3 linked regions of the Saccharomyces cerevisiae S288C genome follow. The protein of the gene in region 1 binds, or shares a complex with, the protein of each later gene. Each region holds a gene or a part of one and is shown on either strand. Other genes may lie near its edges. The genes, in order: ARP10, JNM1 and ARP1.

Evidence for each region.
Region 2: ARP10 (region 1) and JNM1 share a complex: the UniProt entries of both Saccharomyces cerevisiae proteins name them as parts of the dynactin complex.
Region 3: ARP10 (region 1) and ARP1 share a complex: the UniProt entries of both Saccharomyces cerevisiae proteins name them as parts of the dynactin complex.

What each region holds. Positions count from the first base shown.
Region 1 is NC_001136.10:664,940-668,444, forward strand, and holds ARP10 (Arp10p), read left to right. Parts: upstream 1-2,064; coding exon 2,065-2,919; downstream 2,920-3,505. Other genes in the region: TMS1 (Tms1p), read right to left, coding at 410-1,831. UniProt on the Saccharomyces cerevisiae protein: Pointed-end-associated component of the dynactin complex which assists cytoplasmic dynein by increasing its processivity and by regulation of its cargo binding.
Region 2 is NC_001145.3:854,981-858,664, forward strand, and holds JNM1 (Jnm1p), read left to right. Parts: upstream 1-1,985; coding exon 1,986-3,107; downstream 3,108-3,684. Other genes in the region: GOT1 (Got1p), read left to right, coding at 1-313; glutamyl-tRNA(Gln) amidotransferase subunit HER2, read right to left, coding at 419-1,813; GSR1 (Gsr1p), read right to left, coding at 3,317-3,684. UniProt on the Saccharomyces cerevisiae protein: Component of the dynactin complex which assists cytoplasmic dynein by increasing its processivity and by regulation of its cargo binding.
Region 3 is NC_001140.6:362,448-366,122, forward strand, and holds ARP1 (actin-related protein 1), read right to left. Parts: upstream 1,707-3,675; coding exon 552-1,706; downstream 1-551. Other genes in the region: FUR1 (uracil phosphoribosyltransferase), read left to right, coding at 1-318; YHR130C (uncharacterized protein), read right to left, coding at 2,518-2,853; YHR131C (uncharacterized protein), read right to left, coding at 2,893-3,675. UniProt on the Saccharomyces cerevisiae protein: Core component of the dynactin complex which assists cytoplasmic dynein by increasing its processivity and by regulation of its cargo binding.

The sequences.
Region 1 (3,505 bases):
TTCTTTTACAATCACTGTATGCTGACTTTTGTTATTGATATTTTCACCAGACATTTCTTTAGCCACAATGATTTTGTTTTACCATATCTTTGAAGCACGGCGCAAACTCCGAATATCGCATAAAGAAGGTTGAGAGAATGTTTTCTACCTTTAAAAGAAGAAAAGAGATCCTTCGAAAACGGTCGATCGATAATAACTGTAATTGGCATTTCAAATAAATAGAGGATAGTTAAAATAATCCTCGAGAAGCGATATCTCAATTAGATAATTAAGATCCATTTTTTTTTGAGGGAGGTTTACTCATCTTCTTGAAACTAGTGCATGAGTATAGTAAAATTAGTGTTTCTACTGGGGGCTACTTAAAAAAAAGTTACATACATTATAAGAAAATCTTTTTGTGTTAGTCTATTTAATAGTAATTCTCGTAATCAAATCTATCGGGCATAATCGCTGGGGCTACCACTGTCCAACCGTAAAGGGCATAACATATCCATGCACTAACTATTTTTACCCAAGAATAAAAATATGTTCTTCCTACGGGTATAAAATCACCTACATCATCCTGGGTAACGTTTATTGTTAGTAAAATTGCAATCCACTGGGTTGCCAGAAAGAATATAACGTGGAACAGAGTGTAATTGTACTTGGTTCCAGTCCTTTCATCATCATTTTGGTTATCCATTGCGCCTGTAGGAGATGATGTCCCTAACCAAGCGGTATCATATAAGGCACTTTCCGGTAAAGATCCTTCTTCTACAGCTTGTTTAATAGCTTCATACCTCAACTGATTTCTTGTCTGTCCACCTAGTCCTTCGTACTCGATATCATTCCCGAGATATATAGCACCATTAGTATTGGTGCCTTGAAAAGCACTATTAGCAGCGGCTCTAGTTGTGGTGTAAGCAATCGCAATAAAAGTAAATAAAGAGCCCAAAATGATACTAAACTTACGGGTTCCACTAGATCTAACCAACGGATTACACATTTTGTCATCCGGTTCGGAAGACATGGCACTCATTGTCAAATAAGTACAGTAAACAGAAACCATACTACTTTGGGCCAGCCCACTTTTAGGGTTGGCCTCTTGGATCTTAGGATTCACCGATAAGACAAGCGTTATAACAGTTAATATTAAATTGACTGTTACCGCTGTTTGATTCATGTTACATTGTTGATGACAAAACATAACATACATAACAACAGTCATGATAATCGATGCGGTATACATTGAAGTTGTCCCTAAAACCAAAAATCGTTGCCAGAATGAGGAATCTTCATCTTCTGACTCAACGTGACTAATACACGTTTCAGCCCACTCATGAGCGAAGTCTACTAATAATATAAGCCCAACCAGGATGAAAATTGCTCCACTAGGGACTGACACCCACTTGGAAAAGAAAATATAAAAGTCATTGGGGATGACAAATGACAAAACAATGAGACATAAATACAGTATAAATTTTAAACTCCACCACGAATTCTGTAATGCTGCTCTTACGTCATTAGTCGACTTTACGCCCGTTAGTACAAGCGCCAATATCAAATGTAAGCATCCCAATGCAAAATTCAACCTATGAACTGTAAAAAATCCACATTCCCCAGTCCCAGTACATGTCTTCCCTGGCCATAGGATTGATTTGTTCGCAGAATAGGACACCCATGATATCAATGAGTTAAGTAAAAGCCAAACGGCGTACAGAAGTCTTGTCCCTAAAGAAGAAGATCCTAGGGAAGATGCAGTCTTAGTCACCAAGTTTGAGCAGCAACCTCCAAAACAGGACGCCACGAATGAGCCCGCCATGCTAACTGGCAAAGAAATTACGGCACCCATGGTAGATTGTTGTACTTTGTGATGGGTATTTTGATATGAAGTAAATCTGTTGTTTGATTATAAACTTCGTTTTGGGGGCATAAAGACCTCAAAAACAGTTCTCTTTTTTGTTAGAATCTAATTGTCGGAACTTCTATTGTAGCCGAGAGACATAAACAAAAGAGGTACAAATACTACAATATTCGACACTGTGAAATGATAAAAAAAATCTACCCAGGAAACCCTATGAGGAAATGTCGAATACTATTGTGATAGTCTATTTGGGAGCTAACAGAATCGAAATTGGAAGAAGTGCTGATGCGTGTCCACAAGAAATTATCGCCTGGAAAACAGGTAGTATTAATGAAAAAAATAGGGAAGAATTGAAAAAAATATTTGAACATTACTTCCAAATTTGCAACATCTTGGGAAATCGAGAAGTACAAGTGTTGATACTAGAAGATATCTTCATTTCTGTAGTAGAGAAAAGAATTATTTGTAGCATCTTGTTTAAGGAATTTGACTGCGCTCACGTTTCGTTTGTCCCCAGGGCCATTGTGCACTGCTTATCCTGTAATACAAGGAATGCCATAGTTATAGATATAGGTACCAATTATACTACATGCGTACCTATTTTCGACCTTAGACCTTTGCAACAGTTCATAAAATACTCAAAACGAGGCAAAAGACAGGTTGAGTCAAGAATTCCTCTCCCGGGCAGTCTCTACATGCCAATATTTTTTGACGAAGAATACAACTCTAAAAATTGTGAAGTAGATGAAACCCCGGTAATAAATCTTGTCAAAAATATTGTAGAGTCACTTCCTATCGACTTGAGAAGGCCACTGAGAGAAAATATCATTATAGTAAACATTGAAGAGGCGTATGAAACAGTAATAAGGAATTTATTCAAGTTAAAAATGGATACGTCCAAAATCCAGTTTCCTAAAAATTACTGGCAGGCTGGTTCTGCATGCGCGAAAATACTTCTGCACTATAAGGGGAGCAACATTGTAGGAATAGAAAGAGATGAGTTTTATAACAATCCTCATATTGCTCCTGATTGGTTTGATTATTACTTCAGAACTGGAGTGAAGCGCTTACAATAGGCTTTATGTATATGTAGAAAACAAAAACAGGAAGTGTTCTCTTCACCAAACTGCGTCTTTCCACAACAATTAGCCTTATTGAGCTTTTGATGTAAAAGTTTATGATAGTAAAGAGCTATTTTTAACAATAGAGGAGAAAAAATAAAAATGGTCTCTAGCGGGATCGAACCGCTGATCCCCGCGTTATTAGCACGGTGCCTTAACCAACTGGGCCAAGAGACCAATTTGGATCGAAAGTGTTGTATCTCAAAATGAGATATGTCAGTATGACAATACGTCATCCTAAACGTTCATAAAACACATATGAAACAACCTTATAACAAAACGAACAACATGAGATAAAACACGGCCTTCCCTAGCTGAACTACCCAAACGTATAAATGCTTGAACAATTAGTTTAGATCCGAGATTCCGCGCTTCCACCACTTAGTATGATTCATATTTTATATAATATATAAGATAAGTAACATTCCGTGAATTAATCTGATAAACTGTTTTGACAACTGGTTACTTCCCTAAGACTGTTTATATTAGGATTGTCAAGACACTCCGGTATTACTCGAGCCCGTAATACAACAGAAAGTTA
Region 2 (3,684 bases), on another chromosome or scaffold:
CTTGGGCAATATTTTGTTTTTAATTGGAGTATTCTTAATAATCGGTTCACAAAAGACATATATTTTTTTTACCAGGCCAAACAAAAGGCGCGGTTCACTATTTTTCCTAGTTGGTGCCTTCTTAATACTGTTGAAATGGACATTTTTGGGCTTTATAATTGAATCTCTAGGTATTATAGGTCTCTTTGGTGATTTTTTTGGCGTCATCGTACAATTTTTGAGATCAATGCCCATAATTGGTCCCATACTTTCTCACCCAGCAATCGCTCCAATAGTAGATAAATTAGCGGGAGTTAGGGTTCTGCCAGTATAATGGTAAAATTTTGTATGTGAATATCATAGATTAATTTTTTCGAACTTTCTATAGGTATAAAGTAAAAATAATAATATTTACATGATTAACGTTGTCCTCACAAATTTATGATATTGACTCGACAAAATCTAACACAGTGGAATCATCACCATATTGACCTACTACCTGTAAGCCAATCGGGGTCTTCTCTTTTAAAGGCATTGATAAACTTGGTAGTCCAGCCAATGACATTGGGACAGTAAAGACATCGTTTATATACGAGTTAGCCGGAGATTTGGCTTCCTCTTCTTCGAAGTCCCTTATGGATCCAGGAAGCTTGGACGATGTGGGAACTATCAGTAGATCTAGGCCGTCTGGATTTCCCTTAGAATTAGTTAAAACATTTGGAAATCTGAAGATCCCGTCAAATTCATCGATCAAATTAACTCGTAGCTTTTCTGCCTTAATAAAATTGTTCTTAAATGCATCTGAACAAAGATTATAATTACCTAGAATGATTCTATTCTTAACTTCTGTTCCGAATTTGGACCTAGTAGGTGCGAATAAAATACCGTCTTTTATATCGAGTTCTGAATCTCTGTATCCATATCTGATACCATCATACCTTGATAAATTGGAAGCCGCTTCAGCGGGTGATAGCGTATAATAAATCGGTAAACAGTTTTTTACAGATGGAATGGATACAGGGTATATTTCAAGCCCTAAATTTATCAGCTTTTCTAGTAAGGATAAATATAATCTGTGGAACCCAATGGGCATACTTTCATGGCTAAATTCCTTTACAATTCCTACCTTTAAAGGTCTCCTAACCTTTTTATTCCCTTCTATCAATTCACGCAATTCCACACTTAAGGAAGTGGGATCTTTCATGTCATATTTATCGAGCGTATGAAATACTTTTCGCAAGACGTTTATCTTTTTGCTAAGTATGCCAACAGTGTCTAAAGATTGAGAATACGCTATTACGCCAAATCTTGACAACCGTCCATAGGACGGCTTGAATCCTAAAACAGATCCATAGCATGCGGGGAGCCTAACGGAGCCACCAGTATCTGTTCCCAAGGCAAAATCGACTAGATCGCAAGCAACGCTTGCAGCGGCTCCAGACGATGAACCTCCCATGATCTTCTTGTCCTCATGAGGATATAAAGGGTTAATTACGGGCCCTCTTATTGAATGTACTCCCCCAGAACCCATTCCAAATTCATCTAAATTTGTCTTGCCTAAGATATGCACTCCTGCCTGTTTTAATAGTTTCACTACTGTTGCATCGAAGGGAGACTTGAAATTCTCAAGTATATGTGAGGCACATGTGGTTGGAAAATCTTTTGTAACTATATTATCCTTGATACTGGCAACGCAACCTGTCAATGTTTCTTTTGTACCTTTTTTATTTGTGATTGAATAAGGAGATGGATTGATACTAGTGAAAATATTATATTTTGATTGAAAACTAGATAATCTTTCGATTGATTCTTTTAAGGAGCGTTTCAGTGGCATTTTTGTATAATCAAAGTTAGGACTCCAATTGAGGGGCCATCTTTCCAGCACAAATAATAGTGTTTACAAGTATAGATGTACTATTACTTTTTTGGGAGCCAATGCATTTCAAAAAAAAAAAGAAGAGCAGATAAGTCATGAGGCTAAGAAAGATAAAGAAATCTACTGGTTGATGAACGTCATAGATTTAAGTGATCCTGCCATCAATGTGGATTATGATAGCTTGATTGGCATTGACAATGAGGAATCTCAAGAAATTTTTGAAAATGAAGTGAAGGAAGATGGACAACAAGAAGAGCAGGAAGAAGCATCTTCAAGAAAAGATGGGCTCATCGTTGAACCAGGGAGAGATGTTGAGAGTTTGAGAAGGGCTATTCGAGATCAGTTGCTTTTCAAGATACATAGACAAAACCAATCAGACTGTGCAGATGCGAGAAAGTTGAGTAACGATGAAGAAGATGAAAGTCGGCAACAGAAATTAGAAAGAATAAGAGAAGAATTGGAGGAGTTGAAAATAGAAAATTTAACATCTGAAATGCAAACTGAAATCAAGGAATTGTGCGAAATTCAATCAAAATTGGCGACGGAATCATCTAGTAGATTGACAAATTTGAGGAAGAAGCTTCTCGAAACATATGAAGGCCAAGATACCGTCATATTGCCAAACATAATTCTTGATACGAGTAATATCAAAAGATTGCAAAAGTTAGATCAGAAAATATCCCTAATGGAACGTTTTGTTGGCATACCAGAAGCTTTGGAGGCAGAAGAAGATAGGAAATCGGTTCATAGTAAAGTCAATGAACTATATAGAAGTATTCAACTTTTACAAGGCGATGATAAGGCGGAAGGAAAGCTGCAAAAGTTCCGGGATAGACTCGTAGAACTGAACGAGGAATTTGAAAACTCATTGTTAGGCAAGAAAATACAACAGGACTTGAGGTTGAAAGATGACACCGTGAGCAAGCTTGTTATGCCCGAAAACAAAGTAAAGGAGATAAATAGTATGTATTCCATGTTCAAGCAATATCAAGATTCACTACCACTGTTGGCGGAGAGGATGAAAAGTCTCAATAAAATGAACAACAGGGTGATCGAGGTGTACGAAACCACGAAAGGGCTGGATTCACAAATAACCAGCATCCAAGAACAAGGAAAAGTTTGGCTAAAGGCTTTAAATGAGCTGGATAAAAAATTCGATGAACAAGAGGTTAAAATTCGCGAAAATATGGAGCAGATCAGGCGTAAAATTGATACCCTCGAAGACGAAGCTCTACAGAGAAATAGCAAATAAAAGGCGGAGAAATAATTTTATAAACCAATTTAATTTCATTCTTCATTTTTTCGTCTCCATATGACAAAAAAATTGAAAATATGTGTGTGTATGTATATATAATAATAGTAATAATAACAATATGAAATATGAAATATCCAAAATAAGAGCGGAAAACAGAAATTATCATAAAAAAGAAAAAAATAAAGTCTCTAAAGGGTATCAAGCGCTTATTTCTTCTTCATTCTACCAAACAATCCCTTCTTCTTCTTCTTTTGCTTTTCCTCAGTCTGTACGTGTTGTTGTGGCTGATACACTGCTTGTTCACCATACATTTGACTGGAAGCACCACCCACTTGCTGTGGCATACCGTTCGCATCGTAAGTCACAGCAGCACCAAACACAGGGAAATCAGGTCTTACGCGGAACCCGTAAGTTGGAGTCTCCAACTGTTGGGCCCAGACCGGGTCTCCGGAGACAGCATACTCGAAACTTCTTATAGTGTCCAAAGGTCTTTCGTCTCTTGCCCTAGTTGGATTCGATATATCTGCCTGTGTGATGGGTTGACCGAAAACATCACACAGAACATGACCTTCTT
Region 3 (3,675 bases), on another chromosome or scaffold:
GAGGAGACTGCTTTACCAAAGTTATTCTACGAAAAATTACCAGAGGATATATCTGAAAGGTATGTCTTCCTATTAGACCCAATGCTGGCCACCGGTGGTAGTGCTATCATGGCTACAGAAGTCTTGATTAAGAGAGGTGTTAAGCCAGAGAGAATTTACTTCTTAAACCTAATCTGTAGTAAGGAAGGGATTGAAAAATACCATGCCGCCTTCCCAGAGGTCAGAATTGTTACTGGTGCCCTCGACAGAGGTCTAGATGAAAACAAGTATCTAGTTCCAGGGTTGGGTGACTTTGGTGACAGATACTACTGTGTTTAAATAAATCACACCCGAACACCATCTTGAAGGTTCAGAACGGCTGAAGCCGCATATCAACTTTTGGTTTCTACTGTTTTAAATTTCCTTTCTCGTTTTAAACCTTTGTTGCCGTCTCTTCTACTATCAATTTTGTTGTTCATGCATGTTTAATTACCTTTTTTTGTAAAAATAATATAAACGTATCAATGGCTATTTATAACAAATATGCTTGAAAAATCTAACGACTCTGTTTCTTACATTAGGTTCGAATAAACACGGGTACTGTCCTCTAGCCAATCTGACTTTTTGGTCCAAAGTCTTTGAAAGGTAGATAACCCCGTTAAAATAGAACCACCAATCCATGTAGTATATTTTCTTTCTGAAGGGGCTATAATCTTTATCTTGGATGTTCCTTTGGTTAATGCCTCCAAATCCCATAGCATTCGGTCTCCAAAGCCTTTAAGCGTTGTAGTTCCGCCACTTAGGATTATCGATGACAGTAAAGGTTTCCTTAAATCCAGATCGACTTTCCAAATAGATTGCATGCACATATCAGATAATCCATCGTACCCTAAGCCGATGATTTGAGGTGAAAATAATATTTCTGGAGCACGATATCGATCATTCCCCACCTCTATACACCTCCCGTCGGGCAATTTGAATGTCGAGATTAAATCTTGAGTACCTTGTAAGTATTTCTCCTCTTCCTTTTTAATATTCTTGGCCAAATAACAAACTTTCTCTTTCATCGTGCGAACAATCTCTCGTTCACTGCTGGAAAACAACGAAACACCAGCTGATTTCCGTAGTTGAAATTGTAACTGCTCTGTGATATCTGCTCCTCCAATATCCATCCTCATCATAGACGCAGGTAATGCAAAGCCGTCATATATGGGAACAGTGCTACAGTATCCTTCACCACAGTCAACTACACAACCTGTAGTTCTCCCACTAGCATATAATGACAGAACAGCAGGGTTTGAAACGTACAAAGCCGATACGTCAAAGGTCTCGAACAATACTTGAGCCATCTGCTCTCTATTCTTCAAAGGATTCATCGGGGCTTCCGTAATTAATAAAGGATGCTCACCTATATTTTGCAACTGTAGGACTTCATTTAACACATATGACCATATTAGTTCCATAGAATCCCAATCTTCCACCACGCCGTGCTTTATGGGGTATCGTAATTTTAATAATCCACGCAGTTTTTGGGCATTGTTTCCAATAAATGTATCTCCTTGCAGACCTTCGAGCATAACTTTATCATATTTGGTATTTCCTACGAGACAATATTCCAGTGCTTTAGGCCTTTCCTCACCACTAAATCCTGCTTTTATGATCCCAGAACCATTGTCGATCACTACCGGTTGATTGTACAAAGCATAGCTGTCACTTAGCTGGTCCATTGGCTAACTTTCTTTCTAATTCCTCAATTCGTGGTATAGCATTAGCATGTACTCCTTGGTCTATGCCCTTTTATTAATTTGCTGTTTTATTGGGAATATCTGCTATTTGCTTCGCTATTATTCAATAAAGGTGTTTATCATTATTGATGTGCATCGCGAAAATGGCCACTTTGGAAATGAACTTTTTCTTGAAAAGATTAATACAAACGGAAAAAGAGAAGGCAATAGGAAACTCACCGTCACACAGGTGTACTGTGTCCTTTGCTTTGAGCTCTTGTTCAGAACATTATGCTACTTAGCATTCTTTTATGAGCTTTTTTCTGTAGTCTTATTATAGGTTGATGAAAGCGTTACCTTCAAGAAATGATTTTTAACGTGGTATAATAAACACTGTTTATCATGGTAAAACAGGTATTTCTTTTATTCTTTGGAATTACCAGACGATACCCATTCAAAATTCAACTTCTAATCAAACGTTGATCAATAAATACTGTATTATGTTGCTTGTTTGAAATTAGAGGCATTGCCTTTGTTAAATTGAAATATAAACTGGAAAAATGAAGCGAAAATAAAGTACTGTCTATAAACAAAAACCTTAAAATGATTAATGTTAACCTTTCTGAGCAACGAAGCAATCCATACGTATTGAAAGCTTTAGCTCTTGGAGTACGGTGTCGAGAAATCGAAGTAAGACCTAGTAGAAAATCATTAGTTTGTATAGACTAGTCAATGACAAAGTAATAGTTGAAAACAATACTGTCTTAGTTCGCAACCATTTATATATATTTAAACTTATTTTTTACAGCCCTTGCTAATTCCTGATGCCAAGTAACGAGGGGCAAATCATCTGAGTATATACGTACATATACATCAATGATGCCAATCGGAAATGCTTTAACATTTCTGAAGAATTCTTTAAAAGGTTACTATTTTTACTCAATTCGAGAAAATGCAAAATATAATTACCCACTTTTATGTAAACATCGGTGTCAAAATCGTGAAATATACCGAATGATAATGTTGAAAAGAAACTCAAGTGCAAAAGAAAAAACACGATCCAAAGTGTATAGAATGAAATAAAAAAGAAATAGAAAAACTCCTCATCATGTAGCATATATCCGATGATAATATATATACTTTTAGTCATGATATTAATTCTGCAAAAACAAGATTACTGCATCACAGCTTATGCAGTAATCTGTCCATCATCATCGTCATCGTCGTCGTCATCATCATCATCATCATCATCGTCGTCGTCTTCGTCGTCGTCATCATCATCATCATCGTCGTCGTCGTCATCATCATCCTCACCATCATCACCGTCACCGTCGTCCTCCCCATGATCTTCAGCGTCCTTTGTTGTTCCAACAATTGCATTCTTATTTTTACAATTAAGTTCTATCAACGCCGTAGGTCCCACGATGAAGCCTTTTAAAAAATGATTCTTCTGCTTCTGTAAGCTCTGGCGGTTGCTAAAGTGAATTTTATTACTTGTTTCAAAGGTTGGTCCCGAAACTGGAATATAGATAACCTTACCCAAACAGTCGTTACTATCTAGAAATGGTTTGATGCACTTCAGAGAATCCCTCAAATAACGCCTTCTTGAAATTTCCTTAATAGCTGGTTTCCATTTAATATCATCCGTTCCGTAAGGTATATTGGAGAAGCAACTTAGAGTAGAAGATGCTCGCCTTCGATTTCTTATTCGTTCTTCAATTAAACATGAATAATCACTTTCACTGCCATAAGCATAACCAATATTACTGTCATCAGTATCATCATTAGTATCATCGCCAGCATATTCATCGGTTTCACCGTCATTTTCGTCCTCATCGGTCTCAGTAGCGCTTTCATCGTCATTGATTTCAGCGTCACGGTTTGTGAGACATAACGACCTACTGCTTTGGGATAAATCTGTGGCGGATTCCCCATTAGGAGCTAATCCTGATAGGTATATCGAAGAGCTTTG